Canis lupus familiaris: one gene and its partners. The main gene of each other region encodes a partner of the protein of the gene in region 2 in a complex. Links are inferred from orthologs where the notes say so. Each region holds a gene or a part of one and is shown on either strand. Other genes may lie near its edges. The genes, in order: INTS2, INTS6, INTS4, INTS9 and INTS12.

The links.
Region 1: the proteins of INTS6 (region 2) and INTS2 are in contact, whole or in part, in a cryo-EM structure (PDB 8RBZ), measured with the Homo sapiens proteins. The link is inferred for Canis lupus familiaris from reciprocal best matches to the Homo sapiens genes INTS6 and INTS2. Residues at the interface, in NP_036273.1 of Homo sapiens: Ile484, Val486, Arg487, Ser488, Arg489, Phe527, Gln528, Val529, Ala530, Leu531, Leu532, Asn533, Phe541, Arg542, Asn543, Ala544, Tyr545, Ile547, Arg549, Leu552, Leu553, Leu556, Met559, Arg560, Asn562, Leu563, Leu564, Lys565; in NP_065799.2 of Homo sapiens: Ile855, Asp856, Pro857, Leu858, His895, Arg923, Glu925, Leu926, Lys927, Ala929, Leu930, Ala932, Ala933, Gln934, Ser936, Ala937, Gln940, Ile941, Glu944, Asn1010, Lys1013, Leu1014, Phe1017, Gln1018, Gly1019, Tyr1020, Pro1021, Ile1046, Ala1047, Gln1048.
Region 3: INTS6 (region 2) and INTS4 share a complex: the UniProt entries of both Homo sapiens proteins name them as parts of the integrator complex. The link is inferred for Canis lupus familiaris from reciprocal best matches to the Homo sapiens genes INTS6 and INTS4.
Region 4: INTS6 (region 2) and INTS9 share a complex: the UniProt entries of both Homo sapiens proteins name them as parts of the integrator complex. The link is inferred for Canis lupus familiaris from reciprocal best matches to the Homo sapiens genes INTS6 and INTS9.
Region 5: INTS6 (region 2) and INTS12 share a complex: the UniProt entries of both Homo sapiens proteins name them as parts of the integrator complex. The link is inferred for Canis lupus familiaris from reciprocal best matches to the Homo sapiens genes INTS6 and INTS12.

The regions. Positions count from the first base shown.
Region 1 is NC_049230.1:34,713,395-34,717,639, reverse strand, and holds the start of INTS2 (integrator complex subunit 2), read right to left. Parts: upstream 2,808-4,245; 5' UTR 2,722-2,807; coding exon of another isoform or gene 2,718-2,721; coding exon 2,699-2,717; intron 2,682-2,698; exon of another isoform or gene 2,052-2,681; intron 1,352-2,051; coding exon 1,045-1,351; intron 190-1,044; coding exon 51-189; intron 1-50. UniProt on the Homo sapiens protein: Component of the integrator complex, a multiprotein complex that terminates RNA polymerase II (Pol II) transcription in the promoter-proximal region of genes.
Region 2 is NC_049243.1:591,647-595,160, forward strand, and holds part of INTS6 (integrator complex subunit 6), read left to right. Parts: intron 1-597; coding exon 598-708; intron 709-1,930; coding exon 1,931-2,146; intron 2,147-3,514. UniProt on the Homo sapiens protein: Component of the integrator complex, a multiprotein complex that terminates RNA polymerase II (Pol II) transcription in the promoter-proximal region of genes.
Region 3 is NC_049242.1:20,974,616-20,978,129, forward strand, and holds part of INTS4 (integrator complex subunit 4), read left to right. Parts: intron 1-1,875; coding exon 1,876-2,061; intron 2,062-2,701; coding exon 2,702-2,752; intron 2,753-3,514. UniProt on the Homo sapiens protein: Component of the integrator complex, a multiprotein complex that terminates RNA polymerase II (Pol II) transcription in the promoter-proximal region of genes.
Region 4 is NC_049246.1:28,940,318-28,943,831, forward strand, and holds part of INTS9 (integrator complex subunit 9), read left to right. Parts: intron 1-349; coding exon 350-448; intron 449-1,602; coding exon 1,603-1,740; intron 1,741-3,299; coding exon 3,300-3,476; 3' UTR 3,477-3,514. UniProt on the Homo sapiens protein: Component of the integrator complex, a multiprotein complex that terminates RNA polymerase II (Pol II) transcription in the promoter-proximal region of genes.
Region 5 is NC_049253.1:13,347,290-13,351,527, forward strand, and holds the start of INTS12 (integrator complex subunit 12), read left to right. Parts: upstream 1-1,424; 5' UTR 1,425-1,558; exon of another isoform or gene 1,559-1,725; intron 1,726-4,238. UniProt on the Homo sapiens protein: Component of the integrator complex, a multiprotein complex that terminates RNA polymerase II (Pol II) transcription in the promoter-proximal region of genes.

The DNA of each region.
Region 1 (4,245 bases), on a different chromosome or scaffold from region 2:
TGTAGACAACAAATCATGCATATTTTGAGATGTGATTAAAATAAATGCACCTTGTTCATTATTGCCAACAGTTCACTAAGCACAAGACGCAATCGACGAGGTGAATCACTGTGTTCAAACTCCAATGTCAATCCATGCTGAAGCTGGGATACCAGGATGCTCTCTCCACTGCCTCCTCCAAGTTTATGCCTAATAAAGCAGAAATGTGTAAAAACCACAATGGTAAGAACACTGACATAAAAATAACATAAAATTATCTTTTGTTGAAATAATCTACAAACGAATGTATGAATTCTTTTCATACATTTCATGAGTGTATTATTTTTGAAACACTATTTAGTTTGCCTATTTCAGGGATTCACAACCTATATATAAAGACTCAACTAACAGTTAACACCCACTTCAATGAACAAGAATGGCTCACTACTAGAGTCGCAATGGGCAGGGAAGAACTGAACAACTGTCCAGAATTTTGTGAAATCAATGTAAGCTAAAAAGGCTTTGGGGTGCCTGGGTGGCTCAGTACGTCAAGCATCTGCCTTTGGCTCAGGTCAAGATCCTGGTGTCCTGGGATAAAGTCCTGCATCTGGCTCCCTGCTCAGTGGGGAGTCTGCTTCTCCCTCTCCCTCTTGTCCTCTTGCTTCCCTGCTTGTCCTCTCTGTCAAATAAATAGATAAAAATCTTAAAAAAAAAAAAAAAAAGCCTTCTGAGTGATTCCAATAATTATTCTATTCTAGGGGAACTTACCCTACCCACTTCCCACTGAGAGTAATCGACCTAATCAGTTTAGTATGAATACGACAGTGTATCTGGCCAAACTCCTCTACACATTTTAGAATATGGAATTCAAAAGATCCTGGAATTTTAACTATAAATAGAAAAGAACTACGTAATATGCTCTCCAAAGTTTAGATTCTCAATCTTTTCTGGGAGAGTGCATCCAATAAAAAAAAAAAAATCGTAAAAGTTCCCAAGATATATTTGATTCTCTCTTCTTTGGCATATCTAAGTAAATCCCAGTCCACATATTATATAACACATTACCTAAGCTGCTGTTCTTTGCTGGCATCCTGTTCTAAAGCATGAAAGTCCACAGACAACAATGCAACAATGGAGTTGACAGCTTCCACTCCAGAGAGAAGACGAAGGATCAGTTTTTTATCCTGAGCCCAGCTTTGGCTCTGGTCAGCAGGAGCACAAAGCGCCATCCGCACCAAGCAAGGCAGGAGAAGTCTTAATTCTGGATCACTTAGAGATGCCAACCGAACAACATCCACCTTCTGCATTGCCTCAAAAGCAAAAGGGCTGACAAACTGAAGATTTGTACACTCAGCCATTATCACTGTTGATCCTATTAAAAAAAAAAAAAAGAAAGAAAGAAAGTAGGTTTAACTCCTATATGTATGAATGCTCCTCTTTTTAAATACCCTGAGAAAAGTGGTGTATCTTTAATAGGCCCCTATGCTGGCTATGTTTCTGGCACAAAGGTTCCCTGTTTTTACTCCCATCTAAAAAATGATAAAGAAAAATACATATATTAATAATTAATTAATTTTTAAAAATGATAAAGAAAAGAGAATACAGTAATATCTCCTCCAGCCCTAGAGATCTTCTGTTCTAGTACTTATTTTGCAAAGGAGAAATATAAAGCCCAGAGAGATTAAGTAACAGGCATACAGTGATAACTAACTAGTGGCAAAATCCAAGGCTGAACCCTCATCTGCTAAATCTCAGTCCAAGACTTTCTCCACAGCCTCAATCAACTGAGCACTACAATGCAAATAAAAGTGCGGAGTACTGTTAAGAATGCCCCTCTTCTGTACGTCTTTAGTTTCTTCTGCCTACCCAACAAATGCAAAAAAAAAAAACAAAAAACAAAAAAAAAAAAAAAACTGTCAGGCTTCTCTTTCTCACCCTCCACAAGTCAATGGAAGCTAAATCTCCTCACTTGCCACATGCAATGCCAGATTCAACATTCTGGAGGCCGTAACATTATCTTAATGTCCCTGTGCTCCTTTGGGAAAAAAAAACAAACAGCTGTGGAGGTGCAATTAGCTATGGGAGAAAGACGAGTTCCACTTGGGCACTTCTCTGTCTTCGCTAATCATCAGAAGGGAGGGGGAAAAAAAAAGGCAGAGAGCGGGTGGCCAAAGTCATCCCCTCTAAAAAACCACAAACTCGCCAAAATCGTGGGTTAACAGAGCCGTGGGCAGAAACGTTACTTTGTTTTGAAGCAAGCGGAGCTGGCCTTTTAACGGAGGGGCGGGCTGAGCAAGCAGAGGCGCCAAGCCCCGTGTGTGCTCACAGGGCTCGCCCGCAGCGTGAGGAGAACCAACCAGTCCCTCTGGCGGAGAGAGGCAAGGCCAGTGACCGACGTGGAACCCGGAACGCGCTCAGGCCTGAGAGGCGGAAGCTTCATACCTTAAGATTCACCCTCCAACCTCCCGGGACCAAACCAGGATTCCGCGCCCTAGAGGTGGGACGCCGTAGAAATCCAGAGCGCGATCCCGGGTTGGGCCTAGGCGAAAACCCCGATTCGCCACCCCGAGCTGTGCCCTGAGTCGACCCAGACACCGGCAAACCCAGACGCCGGGACCAACGGGGTCGGCAGCGCGCTAGGCTGCATGGGGACACAGCACAAGCACAAAGGCAGAACCCGCTCTGAAGGGAGGGGGACGCGGAGGGGGGCTGTTTCAACCTGCACCCAGCACCTTCATTCATCCCCAGCGTAGGGCTCCCGTCGGCCACCGTACTGGACTGAGGGGACCGCTGGCTGCGAAAGGAAACCCAGAGGCGTCGGCGTCGCGGCGACGGTGCGCGTGCGCGTGCGCGTGCGCGGCCCCACCCCTTCCTCCCCGCCGTTGCCCCGCGTAACTACATCCCCTCCCTCGTTGACAACGGAGCTTCCAGGGTCTTCGGCGAAGCGCGCCCGCCGTCTGTGTCCCTTTTCGATTGAGCGCTTAAGCTCCTCCAAGCTGAAGTTTCGCTACCCCGGGATTTTTGTAGCACTTGAATAAGCCAAGTAGGTAAAAGAAATGTTAAAATGGCTTACACTGTTCTTTGACCGGAACATTAATGGAATCAGGCTGTGCTCCTCTTTCCATCTCTGCCTGTGCCCTCCGAGCACCGAAGTTCCAGAATCCCAGCATGTATAGGCGAATGCAAATTCAGTCTCTTCCTGAGCTTGCTTAGGCTCTTGACCTCACACCTTCAGGGTGGCAAGTTAAACACCTTAATTTCAGGGATCTGTACTTTACGGTCAAAGGTTGGGGGAATGGGAAAAATGGGGGAGGGGGAGGTACAGACTTCTAGTTACGGAATGAATAACTCCCATACAACATAGAAATTATAGTCAGCGGTATTATAATAGAGGGTAGCTGCACTTGTGGAGAGCAGCATACAGCATAACATACAGAATTGCCCGATCCCTATATGGGGACACCAGAAACTAATGTAACATTGTGCGTCATCTGTAGTTCAATTTAAAAACAAAAACCAAACACTTAGGGCCCATAGATCCTTAGAAAGTGATGGGTGGAGTTTTTGGAATTCTCTGGAACCTGCAAAAGTGTGAGTGCTTGGCACTTCTGGAAAAAGGGTCCAAACTTGGAACAACCTCTCAAATGGAGTGTTAAGCATCCAGAAAAGATTAACTAATCTGTCTATATTTTCATTTTATTTCTAGTTCCTGGTTCAATCTGTGTGCATTTAGCACCTTCTGTTTACCAGATACCGTGCTACAAGCTGGAAACAAATATCTTACAGAGCTAGAACTTCATACCATATAGTTTCCAAGGCTTTCACAGAGTGATAATCTTCTAATAAAGTGTGCTTTCAGCATTAAAAATCAGCAAAGGAGGGATCCCTGGGTGGCGGAGCGGTTTAGCGCCTACCTTTGGCCCAGGGCGCGATCCTGGAGACCCAGAATCGAATCCCACGTCGGGCTCCCAGTGCATGGAGCCTGCTTCTCCCTCTGCCTGTGTCTCTGCCTCTCTCTCTCTGTGACTATCATAAATAAATAAAAATTTTAAAAAAAATCAGCAAAGGAAGAAAACTAACATGTGTTGCAATGTTTCTCAAACTTTTTTCCACCTACAATAATACATTTCACATTGTGATCTAGGACATATATGCATGTATACCCACTTTTTTTTTTCAAGATTTTTTTTGGGGGGGCAGCCCCTGGGGCGCAGCGGTTTAGCGCCGCCTGCAGCCTGGGGTGTGATCCTGGAGACCCGGGATCGA
Region 2 (3,514 bases):
CTTTTTTTTCCAGTTCAGGTAATAATAACAATAGTAATAACTAACACTTACTGAATGCCTACTGTATACCAGACGATTTTATCTGTGCTTTACATATATTGATTCGTTTAATCCTGTGATGACCCTATGAAGTAGATATTATTGTCGTTTTACAAATGAGAAGCTTTAGACACAGAGAAGGTATAAAACCTGGTCTGGGGTCACAAAGCTAGTGAGTAGATGAGCCATAATCTACCCAATTACCCAAGGTAGAAATCTTCCATTTTTCTTGCCTCCTAAAAATTTACTTCCTAATTTCTGTTGAATCTATCTCTGTGGTATGTCTCTGCCCATTTCTTCCAAACTTAGTATCACCAATAATACCAAGGTATCTAGAACTTTACCCTTTCTTTTCCCAGGTGTTGTTAAAGTATAGCCTCTAATCCTTTTAAGCTACCTTTCATACCACTGGCAAACATTTTACTGAAATACAAATATGGTTACTCTCTTATTGAAAAAAAGAATTTTTTTTTTAAGAAATCTTCAAAACTGATAATACAGGTAGCCATACATTTTTGGCAAGCTTAGGATTGAGTGATGTTTTCTTTTTTCCTATAGCCTTTGAAGAAAGCTGTTAGAATGATGGGAGCACCTAACCTAATAGCAGACAGTATGGAATATGGACTTAGTTACAGTGTCATTTCATACCTCAAAAAATTGAGTCAACAGGTAACGTTAAGAAATAGAGCTGTTAAGTATTTTGAATGGTTTTGGCTAAGATGCTTAATAGGCCAGATGTTAGTTCTGTGATGGTATGTCATATTAATATATTATGTTTTAAAACCACATATATCATAGATTATTAACATAATTCAGTGTCAAGTACATAGTATGCTGTGTTTTGGAATGTTAATTTCAATTAATAATAGTTTGTAGAGATGGCTTCATTGTTGTGGTCCTAGACTTTTTATCTGTGGAACATTCTTTGTTTTGAGAAATTTATGTTAGAAAGCTGTTTTTCTTAGACAAAGATGAGTTTCTTTTGCTTAATGTTTTAAAATCTGTAGTTTTTTTTAATTCAAAAATGGGAATTACTTTTGAAATATTTGTAAAAAACTGAATATTGACATTTTGAGCATAAATCACATTAGTAGATGCTCTGCTGGTCAAGCAGTATACACTTAGATTGCCAAGATATTAATACTATATAAAATACGTTGTTTTTCTAGTACTTCTGCCGTCTGTAGTTAAAATGCTCATTGAGATGTACGTTGGAAGGCATCAAAATATCGTTGTTTTCCAATGAAAAACTACATCATTTTTTATACCTATGAACATTTAATTATGTGCTAATAATAGTATTTAAATAAATACCGATGAGATTTTTTTCCCCTAATTTTATATCACCTCTGAATTGGAAATCCATATTTTCATTTAGGGTGCACTTACATTTCATGGTTTAAGTGTAGTGGATATTAGTATATAAAAATAAATTGAAGTTGTTTTTGTTTGCCCTGCTCCAAAAGGTTATAATTGAATTGATTTAAAACTGTAAGACAGGCAGCCCTGGTGGCTCGGCGGTTTAGTGCCACCTTCAGCCCAGGGCCTGATCCTGGAGATTTGGGATCGAGTCCCACATCGGGCTCCCTGCAGCAAGCCTGCTTCTCTCCCTCTGCCTATGTCTCTGCCCCTCTGTCTCTCTCTCTCTCTCTCTCCCCGTGTTTCTCATGAATAAATAAAATCTTAAAAAAAAAAAACAAAGCTAAGACATTATTATTTAAACTATATTTAATTTACTGAGAACTTGACATAAACTATGCTACCTGGGTTTTTAATTAAGTACATACTTTTTATAACATAAATATTTAATATATGGAAGACCAAGACTGTTAGTATTTAATTTGTTGATTTAGATTATGTCCAGACTAAATCTTACTTATTTTTACTTTAGGCTAAAATAGAATCTGACCGAGTCATCGGATCTGTAGGCAAAAAAGTAGTACAGGAAACTGGAATTAAAGTTCGAAGCCGATCACATGGTTTATCAATGGCTTATAGGAAAGATTTTCAACAGTTGCTCCAGGGAATTTCAGAGGATGTTCCTCACAGACTGCTAGACCTTAATATGAAAGAATACACTGGGTTCCAAGTTGCTTTGCTTAATAAGGTAAATGTTATATGAATTTAGTACTGCTCCAGCTATATTCTGTTGAATTGTTAAATAATCAAATTTCCTATTAACTAATAATTTTAGTTTGTCCAAGCTTTAGAAGTACTTCTATACCTCCGAAGAATAATGATCATTAATACTATTACTGAATCATTGAATTTTAGAATCAAAACAAACATTATGTATGCTGAGTGGCTGAATAGATGGACTGATGAATAAACCAATCTATTCATTTTTATAGATGAGAAAACATATGGGGCACCTGGCTGACTGAGTAGAGCATGTGACTCAGGATCCTGGGGTTGTGAATTTGAGCCCCATTTTGAGTGTAGAGATTACTAAGAAAGAAAGACAATAGAGGCTTACAGGTTGCCTAACTAGTCATAGAGTTCACTGCATTTTGGTACTTATACTGATGACCTTGGGTACATCATAAAATGCTTTATGAATATTCATTATTTAAAAGATCCTTATCCCAGTAGCCTTTTATGTAGAAACAGACAAGCTGATCTAAAATTTATATGGAAATTCAAAGGTCCTAGAAAAAGAGTTTTGTAAAATAATAGTTACAAGACTTGTACTATCTAATTTTGAAAGTTACTGTAAAGTTGTAGTGATCATCAACAGTGTTAAGTTGTTGGCATATGGATAAACATATAGATCAGTAGAACAGAAGAGAGTCTGGAAGTAAGCCTTCACACGTATAGTCAGTTAACTTTTAACAAGTTTTAATAAGAGGTGCCAAAATAATTCAGTGGGTCAGAAGACAATCTCTTTAGAAATAGTGCTGGAACAATTGGATACCCATATTCAAAATAGTAAATTTGATCGTTACCTCATATTGAAGTGCTCATGAATCTTAAATGTAAAAACTAAAACTATAAACTTCTAGAAGAAAACAGAGAAAGTCTTTATGATGATGGGTCAGGAGTCATCGAAGGTTTCTCAGATATAACACAAAAAGCACACACACACAAAACTTGATAAATTGAGCTTCATTAAAATTTAAATTTTTGTCTACAAAAGAAATTCTGTAAAATGAACAGGCAAGCTACAGCCTGGGAGAAAATTATATATAGAAAAAAGAATTAGTATCAAAATATATAAAGAAGTCTGTCAACTCCGTGATTATAAGACAAACACAATAAAAAATTGGTAAAATATTTGAACAGATACTTCACCAAATAAGGTACACAAATTTGAACACACACATAAAAAGATCCTGTATCTTAATGACCATTAAGGAAATGCAAATTAAAACTAGTGAGATCCCACTTCCCATCCACTAGAATGGCTATACTTACTATATAACCAGCAGTTTTACTCCAAGGTGTATCTGTCTACATGAGAAAAACGAAGACAATA
Region 3 (3,514 bases), on a different chromosome or scaffold from region 2:
AAAATCAAAATAGAATTAAAATACCAGAGTATATCATAAGGTATAAGGGTAAACAATGTTTTGTTAAACTTTCTGTGTATATATTTGTATGTGAATATTATGCTGCAATATAATGGATATTTCTTACAGTGGGTCTAGAAAGTTTAAAAATCAGAGTTCCATGCCATATTATCATGTACTGTACAACTTCATTTCTCAAAGTATTTTTAGTTCCTATTACTGTATTATGCAAATAGCTTATTTCAGTAGCATTGGACTAGGTATAGCAAAAGATAACTGATATTTTAGTTTAAAATACTGGTGAGAAGAGCTAACATGAAAAGATTGACAGTACTTAAGTGTTGACAAGGATATGGCACAACTAGAACACTGTGCATCACTGGTGGAAGTGTAGATTAGTTAAATTAGTACAACTGGTTTGGAAAACTGTTTGCTATTTGGAATGCCTTCTTAAGCTGAACATATATACAAATCCTGTGACTCAGTAATTCCACCCCTAAGTTTATATCCAACAGAAAGCACATTCAAGCTACCACAGTCATGGTGGCATTATTAAGAATAACCAAAAACTGGAAAAAAAACAACAACAACAAATATCTGGGCAGCCCCGGTGGAGCAGTGGTTTGGCGCCGCCTGCAGACTGGGGTGTGATCCTGGAGACCTGGGATCAAGTCCCACATTGGGCTCCCTGCATGGAGCCTACTTCTTTCTCTACCTGTGTCTCTGCCTCTCTCTCTGTGTGTGTCTATGAATAAATAAATAAAATCTTAAAAAACAAAAACAAAAACAAATATCTACCAACAGTGGATTGTGGTATATTCACAAATGGAATAGGATATAGTAATGGAAGTGAATGAACCATTGCTATATGGATGGATCTTACAAATAAAATATTAAGCAAGAGAGGCCAGATATTATTTGATTTTACCAAGTATAGAAACAGGCAAAATCTATGTGTTATAAGTCAAGATAGTGGCTATTTTTGATGGTGGTGGAATAGTTAGTGGGAAGGGGGACCAGGAGGGTTTGTTGGGGTGCTGGTCATATTCTATTTCTTTATCTGGGTGCTTGTTTTATGTTTGTATTCCTTTTGTGAAAATTCATTGAGCTGTACACTTAAGGTTTTTGCATTTTTCTATATGAATATTAAATGTTTTAAAAATTGAGGGCACCTGGGTGGTTCTGCCAATTAAGCATCTGCCTTAGCTCAGGCCTGGAGTCCTGCGATCCAGCCCCATATCAGGCTCCCTGCTCTGTGGAGATCTTCGTTCTCCTTCTCCCTCTACCTGCCCCTCACCCTGCTTGTGCTCTCTCTCATTCTCTCTGTCACGTAAATAAATAAAATCTTTTTTAAAAAGGTTTAAAACTTTATAAATTTTTTGTTTTTAGATTTGCTAGATTATAAAATTCAATTTAAGGGCCATTTTGGGATACCTGGGTGGCTCAGTGGTTGAGCGTCTGCCTTTGACTCAGAGCATGATCTCAGAGTCCCTGGATCGAGTCCCATATCAGGCTCTCCAGAGGGAGCCTACTTCTCCCTCTGCCTATGTCTCTGCCTCTCTCTCTGTGTCTCTCATGAATGGATGAATAAAAATCTTTTTAAAAAAGGGGAGGGTCATTTTTAAAGTACCTTCTCTTAATAAGGCAAAGGGCTAGCTGTTGGGAATGTGGTGATAAACAAGTGGGGATCTTATTTTTTTTAAGGATTCTTGTTTTGGAAGACACATGGTCAAGTAACATGATCCTAGAGAGACTATGGTAAGAATGTGGTGTTTGAAGTCATTCCTAAATTGATACAATGCTTTTGCTTCTGGTTTTTAATTTAATTTAAGCTATCTTAATCATGTCTTTTTGTTCTCTCCTTCCTTTTTATAGCACCTCACAGATACCTCTCATGGTGTAAGAAATAAGTGCCTGCAATTACTTGGCAATCTTGGCTCTTTGGAGAAAAGTGTCACAAAAGATGGAGAAGGCCTAGCTGTCAGAGATGTCCAGAAGATTATAGGGGATTACTTCAGTGACCAAGACCCACGTGTCAGAACAGCAGCTATAAAAGCCATGGTAAGCATGATAATGGAAACTAAATGGTGACAGGTTTTATTTGTTTCATTCATTATTTTAAGTCCATGGCCAGTGTTAGCTTGGATGCTTTCTAAACCACTCCCGGATATACCTTATGCATGTTTTGAGGAATGTGATTAATGGCATCACAGAACTCAAAGGCACACATTCTTTGTATAGCAGGTGTGCTTTTCTTTAGGCCTCTGTGGTTGCTTTTACCCATATTTCTGAAACATGGAGGGTACAACTTACACCTGTTTTATTTATTTATTTATTTATTATTATTATTATTATTATTTTACACCTGTTTTAATACCAAGTCACATCCCTCCTCCAAGTCCCTGGAAGGGGAGGTGCTTTTTAGGAGGAGGTGGTGTTAACCATTTCTTCTTCAGCCTTCTTATCATTATTGAATATTTTTCTAGTATCTCCTGGGATAGTTGGATTAGATTTATTAAATCTCCTAGTGTTTCTATTAAGAAATCTTTGACCAGATTTCTTATTTATATAGCACTAATTTTGGGTAATGGGAACTGGTAATTTGATATAATGAGGGAGAATATATGAGATTGAGGGGGGAGATACTGGAAATGTTGATCTTTTTTTCTCCAAATACTTAAACTATATTTTTATTATCTAGTTGCAGCTTCATGAAAGAGGACTGAAATTACACCAAGCAATTTATAATCAGGTACTTTAAATGAGTACGATCTGGAAGGGGAGGAGTGATAATGAAACTGGGAGAGTAGTGTACTAGTTGTCAGAATTTGAACACACAGAGCAGCAACTGGCAGCATTAATTGGGATGAATGTGAAGTTGTGTCCAATATGTACGTTTTAATAAGAGGGTAGAGGATATATAATTGAATAACACTAATATATGTAAAAAGAGCTTTTAAAAGGATTTAGGTAGCTCAGTATGAATACACAAAGAGGAATATAGTGTTCAGAATAAGGAAAGTGGTGGTCTCACTGCTCTCTGGTTGAGCCAAACATGAAGTCAGTTCTGGGCTCCATGCTTGACATACTAGAGTATTTCTGAAGGAGAATAACAAGACCATGGGATCATATGAAAAAATATTTATAATAGTTGGTAAAGAAAGGGACAAAGAAGTTGTAGTATCCCTAGGAGAAATTGATTGGCTGCCTAAAGAAAAGGCGTTACAAGGCGGTATTTCTCTTGTAGAATAATTGAATGCCTCTAGGGACAAGGAGTCTAAATCTATGTCAGAAACCTCTTTTTTTTTTTTTTTTTAAGATTTTATTTATTTATTCATGAGAGAGGCAGAGACACAGGCAGAGGGAGAAGCAGGCTCCATGCAGGGAACCCGACATGGGACTTGATCCCGGGTCTCCAGGATCACACCCTAGGCCAAAGGCAGTGCTAAACCTCTGAGCCACCCGGGCTGCCCAGAAACCAGATTTTCCACCAATAATGGTTTTATCTTTCAGA
Region 4 (3,514 bases), on a different chromosome or scaffold from region 2:
GTCCGTGTGATGTATTTTTGATTAAAGTTATTTTTAGATTTTTTTTTTTTTGCCTTCTTTCGTCCTTAAAATTATGTGGTATTTTAGACTCCAGTGATAGAAACAAAAGTTGAAAAGAAAAGAAAATGAAGAATGGTGGTCACAGAAGGCTCAGCTCCCTTCCCGCCGGGAACGAGCCAGTGGGTGTGGAAAGCCGGCCTTGGCTGGCACCAGCCATCGCCATCTGTGAGCTCTGAGGAGGCCGAGCCGCGGCCCAGCGCGGCCTCCTGGTCCCGACTTGGGGTGGCGAGGCTGCAGCACCTCGCCCCCCACATTTAGTTGAGGCCCACTGAAACCCGTTTGCTTCCAGCTCGCGGATGCGCTGGTGCCCATGGAGATTAAGCCTGGCATTTCCTTGGCAACCGTCTCGGCTGTGCTGCACACGAAAGATAACAAGCACGTCCTTCAGGTACGGGGGAGGGTGGGCCGGGCTCATGTCCCTGAGGAGCCGCTGGGGCCTGTGAAGCCCAGGAACCCCCAGATACCCCCACCAGTGGTCCCAGGACTCCCGCCAGCACAAGCCAGAGACCAGACTCCTTAATGGATGAGATGTGAAACAGAGAGAACACTGCGTATAAATTCTTCGCTACTTGTTCTCTGGCCACATGCCTCAGAGAGAGAAAAGGGAAGAGCAGCTATTATTCATGGAGCTGGGGCCGCACCTCACCCTGAGTGCCCTTCCCGCCTCCGAAAGTACTGGTGGTGCTCACAGCTCCCACGGGCACCTTCCTCAGACCCGCGGTGCGGAGCACAGCACCAGGCGGCGGGAGCCCCCAGAGTGGTGGGCAGCCCTTAGGCCCCAGGAGGCCTCCCCTACCCAACATGCCTGTGGGGCGGGCAGCAGCTGGGCACCTGTGAGCCACCCCAGCCCACAGACTGCAGCGCCTTGTCCCGGCACCTCGTGCCCCACCTCCACCCCGTGTTTACCGCCTCGTGGGGCAGCTCCTTGGGCCCTGCTCCTCACCCCTGAGAAGAACTCTTTCTACACTTGGGACTGTGCTGCCATGTAAAATATGCGAGGTGCCATCCTAGGTCCTTGTCATCCTTACTTCTCACCTTCCCACTTCATCCTCACAAAATTCTCACAAAATCACCATCACTTTATAGGCAGTTTCTCTGACTTTCATTTTAACCCATCAGCTTGACCCCATAGCTGGTGGCCTTGGCCACCGTGCTGCTGTCACACCTACAGTTATCAGCACAGTTTATTATTAAGAATTTACTCAGAAAATACCAAAATGAATCCTTTAAAAATTAAAAATGAGTCTTGCTAAAAGGAAGATTTCTTTGCCAGAAAAGGCACTGATGTTGTGTGGATGCTTTGGCATTAGCTTCTGTTATAAAGAACACCTCGTGGAGCCCCCAGCTCCTGGCAACCCTGAACTCCAGGGCCAGCTGACCTCACAGCAGGGATGAGTCCGGACCGGGGTGCTGGGGCCTCCTTCAGGGAGGGCAGCAGTGCCCAGGGAGGGATGGGCAGATGGGCTCTGGCTGTGGCCTGCGCTGACCTCCCCTGTACTCAGGGTGAGGGGCTTGATGAGGTTGTGTTTTCTCCGGCTCTAGCCTCCCCCCAGGCCCACCCAGCCCACAGGTGGTAAGAAGAGAAAGCGGGCAAGCGATGACATCCCAGACTGCAAAGTGCTGAAGCCACTGCTGAGCGGCTCCATCCCTGTAGAACAGTTTGTGCAGACGCTGGAGAAGGTGAGTGCTGCCCAGACTGCACAGGAGCCGGATGTTGCTCCTTTTTCTCCATCTCCACTGTCTGAGCTACTGACCCTGAAGCCTCTGCTTGATCCAGGGTCATGGCAGGAACAGAACCAGGGGAGGGTCCCAGAGAGTTGAGAGAAGACCATGCCCCCTCTTCCCTGTAGGTCCCCCATTTCTTCTCTGCCAGCCCCTTCCTTCCCGTGAGACCCCAGGCCCCTAGAAGACTGCCTCACCACACCCCATTTCTTATGGGAACGAGACCAAGGAAGGCCCTTCAGAAACCTAGGTGCGACAGATGGGCAGGGGGGAAAGGCCAGATAAAGAAAACTTAGTAAGTCTGCCCCTTGGAGCCTCACTTTTCAAGAAGATCCTTGCTGTCAGAGCGCCAGCCTGGCTGTGTCACAGGAGACGGGAGGCGCGGGACTGGGGGGCAGTGAGGACAGAGGTGCTACTAGATCCCTGGGAGTTGGAGAAGCAGACAGGAGGCAAGAAGGGGAAGCAGTAGGCGGTCCTCTGGTGTCAGCCTCCAGCCATTAGTTGTTTAATCTTCCCTGAAGGAGAGACCACAGCCAAGTTGTGCGGCTCTCCTGGCCCGAGGGTGGAAACGCTGTATGGGAGTTAGCACTGATGCTGTGACGTGGCAGGGCCGGCTTCCTCGGGACCGAGCAGTGCTCTGGCCCCTATTGGTAGGACTCTGCTTGACTTGTTTTTTAAAAGCTCGAAACAACTTGCTTTCCCAGAATCCCCTGCACTTAGTTCTTCTGCTTGGCTCATCTAGCAGTTGACCCTTAGGATCTGACCCTGACTCTCTCCACCATTTCTGCGTCATCTCCTCCTGCAAGAGGAATAGCAGTGCCTGCCCCAGCCTGCACACGAGCTTTCTAGGACTAAGGGTTGAGATTCCCTAGCCTATGTCCATTACCTATCTTGTGGCCCTTTCAAGCAAGTCAGTCTTATTTCTATTTCTTTTCCTCTCTCTCAACTTTGTGTGATGTGTAAGAAAATTCTGTAACTCACATTAAGGTAGCTGGAGAAGTATTTGCCCTGCCGCCTTGTCTCCTCCCTCAAGAAGGATTTGCCAAATCACAAGGTCACTGGTATCTTGCTTTGAGGAATGGTATTTTCCTGGGACAGGATGGAGCTTTTTTCTAATCAGGGACCATTGGCAGAGTTTGGAGGCTGCTGATAGAAAGCCCAGGGTCCTAGACTCCTGAACCAAGCTCTTGGATGTGCTCCTCAAGATAGCTCACAAAAGCTTAAGCGGGTTGTAGAAACTTTGTTGTGTTTTGCATGAGATCTTGGATGTTTGGAGGCTTCTTTTAAAGTATATGAAGCTGTGTTTGAATTCCATTGCTGTAGAAGGTCCTATGACAAGTCTGAAGAATTATATTAGGGAGCATAAAAAAATGACAGTTTTTAGAATGTTCAGTTTAGCCAAGGCTACGAAGTGTCATTTCTCAGAACCGTCAGTTGCTCCCATGTCCTCCTGCCTTTCAGTCCACCCCTTGCTTCAGAGTATCCATCATCCTCCTTTCTCTTTTCTTTTGGAGCAGCATGGCTTCAGCGATATTAAGGTAGAAGACACAGCGAAGGGCCATATTGTCCTGCTCCAGGAAGCTGAGACACTCATCCAGATTGAGGAAGATTCAACTCATATCATCTGTGACAATGATGAGGTGCTCAGGGTACGACTGCGGGACCTCGTTCTCAAATTCCTACAGAAGTTCTAAATGGAACAGCTAAGCCATTTCTACTTCACTGAAATCCT
Region 5 (4,238 bases), on a different chromosome or scaffold from region 2:
GTAGAAGTGTAAAATAATAATAATAATAAAATAGATAATCTGATAAAACAATTCTCAAATCTCACCGATCTCATCACAGATTTGTTTTTAAAGTTAGACCTCTTAAAATAAGGTCTTCAGGTAGAACTCAAACATGATTTCACGTTGTGAGTATGCCTTAAGGCAATCCTCTTAGTAGCGTATACTCCCCACCAGGCAGTTAAATTAAAAAAAAAAAAAAAACTCAACATGGCTTAAAGTTTGATTTATTAAATATGACAGCAAATCATTCAGTTGTATTTGTAAGAGAATTTATTTTCACAGTATTCAATGACCATGTTTACAAATCGCCACATTCTTGCCAGCTTTTTCATTTTTCTCTAATACTTTTTCTATAGGGAGGCTTGGAAAAAGAACTACGCTATTAAAAATCAATAACTTAGCACAAGATAGATTATCAAACGGTAACATTCAAGAATTTAGGACAAGAAATGGGATCCCGGGCTCAAGAATAAAGGGATTAAAAAACAAGTCACCTCATTCCAAACGAGGTGGAGTTGAGGCGGGAAATACGGGTGTTCGTGAACGTTTCCGAAACCGAAGCAATCTTTCATGCAAGTCAAACTTTCTACTCAAACTCGAACTTGTTTAAGACCGAACTGAAACGCTGCTTTGACAGTGTAAAAGAAAAACAGCCGCAAACGACGCAAGTCCTCTGGAGCAACTGTTCAGCAGTCCTCACGTACAACTGCTTTCTCTAACCGGGAAGGCACGGAATAAAATGCTAAGTGTCAAAGAGAGAGGGGGAAGGAAAAAAAAAAAAAAAAAGTTAAAGCGTGCCAAAAAGGTCTTAAAGCGACACTTAGCAGCAAACGGCAAACGACTCCACGGACTCCTGCAAAGAGAAGCTGCTCTAGTCCCCATCAGCAGAGGGAGCCACGGGGACTGGCCCTGGGAAACCTGGGAAGGGGCCCGGGGCCCTCCACCAGCTCCCTCAGAGGCTGTGACCGCCCAGGAGGGGCCCAGCGCTGGAGAAAGCTCGGGACACTCACTGCAAGCCCTTGCCTCTCCCGCCCCCCCGCCTCCTCCCCATCCCCGTCTCGCAGCATCAGCCGGGTCGCCTCCGGATGCAAAGAGCAGTCGCGGGGGGGGGGGGGGGGGGGTCAGGGGGACCGCGGAGTCCGCAGCCTGAGCTCCCTCCTTACCTGGTCGCAGAGGCGCGGCCAGGCAGGGAGGGTGCGTGAGTGTGTCAGCGACACGAGCCGCCTGCGCCTTCCCACCCCGCGTGAGTTTTCCGAGGCAGCTTCTGCGAGTCTTCGCCCACGGACCGCGGGCGGCCAGAGAGGCCGGGAAGGGGCACGCGGCAGGCACGCCGTCTTGGAAACAGCCGCGTCCGCCGTCATTCATAATCCGGCGGACCGGAAGCCGGGGTTACGTCACTTCCCGCCGTGGCACAGCCGAAAACTTCCCCCCTTCACGGCGCGGCAGGAACCTTTGTTTCCCCGTAGTCGGAGCCGGCGAGTTCCGGGAGCGGTTCGGAAGGGGCCCCCGGGAACGGACGGAGCAGCGGGGCGGAGCGGTGAGTTGTGACGAGCTCCCCGGCTCCCAGCCGCCTCTGGGAGGCTCGAGACCTCCGCGAGGGGCGAGGCGGGAGAGGAGCTTCGTGGGGTCTTAGTTCCCTGGCTGCTGAGGGGGCAGCGTCGTCACTGGCGGGCGGCCGCGCGCCCGGGCTGACTGCCCTCTCCCTGCGGCGGGGCGGGGGCGGGGGCGGGGGCGGGGGGTGGTGCCGAGCCTCCTCCTGCAGTGCTGTGGGCTGGGGCTCTCCGGCTCGGCTCGGCCCGGCCCGGCCCCGGGGACTGGTCCCTGCAGCCCGGTGCCCGACCTTCCCCGCAGGGTTTTGGCGACTTCTCTGGGCAGCTCCCTCCTTCCGCCTCGCCTGTCCTCTCGGACTTGCTCCTCGAAGACCTTCTCCCGTGCTAGGCCTGCGGTGTCCTGCTTTGATCAAAGGACTGACATCCCTTTTCTGAGCGTCTTCGGCCCCTTTTTTTTTTTTTTTTTTTTTTTTAAATTTTTATTTATTTATGATAGTTACAGAGAGAGAGAGAGAGAGGCAGAGACACAGGCAGAGGGAGAAGCAGGCTCCATGCACCGGGAGCCCGATGTGGGATTCGATCCCGGGTCTCCAGGATCACGCCCTGGGCCAAAGGCAGGCGCCAAACCGCTGCGCCACCAGGGATCCCATTCGGCCCCTTTTTTTCAGCTTCTCTTGTCACTCGGTTGGTTTGGAGTCGTGGTCCTTCCGTTTCCCCTGCGTTTCCAGACATGTCCCTAAGATATCAGTGTAACCCAGGGCCGAGAATTCAGTAGAGGACTGAAACGGGCAGCAGCTTTAAAAGATTTTTTTTTTAATCTTTTTTTTAAAAAAGGCTGTTTTTGCAAGAGCTTCCAAAGACATGAAAGGGCAAAGCTTGCTAGAGCTGGTAGGAGATGGCAACCCTAATATTGCACTCGGTGTGAATAGGTGGTTTCCTTTATCTTGTGTCCTTGCACGTGCAGATGATCAACTCTGGACTTTTTTTTTTTTTTTTTAGATTTTATTTATATATTCACACAGAGAGAGGCAGAGACACCGGCAGAGGGAGAAGCAGGCTCCCTGCGCGGAGCCCCATGCGGGGACTCCATCCCAGGACCCCCGGGGTCACAACCTGAGCCAAAGGCAGATGCTCAACCCCTGAGCCACGCAGGTGTCCCAACTCCGGACTGTTTTTTTAAAAAAAAAGATTAGCATGTAGAATGAGAAATTGGGGATTTGGGGAAAGCATTGTGAATATCCAGTTTCGGTGGGAAAGATCACAGAAGCCCCAGAAAGTGATTTTTAAATAAAACCTAGTTCATTCACTCAGTAAATATTTTTGAGAGGCTAAGTTTCGAACCCTAGATACATAACTGAATAAAATAAGTTTCTTGCCCTCATGAAGTTACAGTCCAGTGTAATTAATGAAGGTAAAGCCAGGTAAAGGATTGGGAAGAGAGTGAGTACTGCAGAGAGGAACATTGTACAAGTCTCTAGTCATCAAAGAGGTGACTTTTGTTTATGTTTCTTTTACTGTTGCTTTTTTGATGTTTGAGAGGTTTGGTGGAGGCGCAGGAGGTACAGGGAAGATGGGTTTGCGTTTCTTACTGCTCTTTGCAAAGGGACTTTGTAAATTGGTTAGAATTGTGTAGGAGGGAAAAGACCATTACACTTTACTTTGATCCCTAATAATTCTAATAGCTGTTATTTTATGGTACTTTGCAAGGTAGCCATGTGATAGTAAAAAAGAAATGTAGAATCTCCTCCCTTAAAGTACTCAATAGTTTTATAGGGAATATAACTCTTGTGCAAAACAACAACAAAAGTATGGCTCAAGGTAGAAAGTCCTAGTACCACCAGAAAGCAGTATGATGTATCCTGGGAGGGAGAGATTTTTAGTAGTGTTTGGGATGGATAAGGACACACCAGCAGTGAAGAATCCACATGAGAAATAATATTTGAACATAAAATTTAGACATCTAAAAAATGGGTAAAAAGCTTCCCGGACAGAGAAAAAATAAGCAGAGGTGTCAAGACAAGCGAATGGCTCTTCTGTATAAGAATTAAGTTTTTGTGCCAGTGAGAGTCTTTTCAGAATTGGGCTTTATTTTGAAGACAGTAGGAAGTTTTAATTTTTTTGAAGATTTTATTCATTCTTGAGAGACAAGAGAGACCTAGGCAGAGGGAGAAGCAGGTTTGCAAGGAGCCCAGTGTGGGACTTGATCTCAGATCGCGGGATCACGCCCTGAGCCAAAGACAGACACTCAACCACAGAGCCCCCTAGGCATCCCAGGAAGTTTTAATTTTTGAGGAAGAAAATGAAAAAGAAAGAAGAAATGTGTTTTGGGAACATGAGTATAGCTGTAGTGCTGAAGTCAAGGAGAATAGCTACATTACTGCTATACCACAAAACTTAAAAGACATGAATTGGAGTAGTAGCAGTGGAAGTGAAAAATGGAACAAATGTGAGGAATGTTGCAAAGTACCATAGGGAAGGCCTACTGATTTTTTGGTTATACAGAATAAGAGAGGATTTAGTGAGGGAAGGATTTAGGCCTCAGACTAGATTAGCAGAGAGTTGTGTCATTCATTGAAAAAGTACAGGACAAACTTTTGGGAGAAAGTATTCATAATCTCAATTTTAGCCATAACTGAATTTGAGATACCATTAGGGCAACCAGGTAGA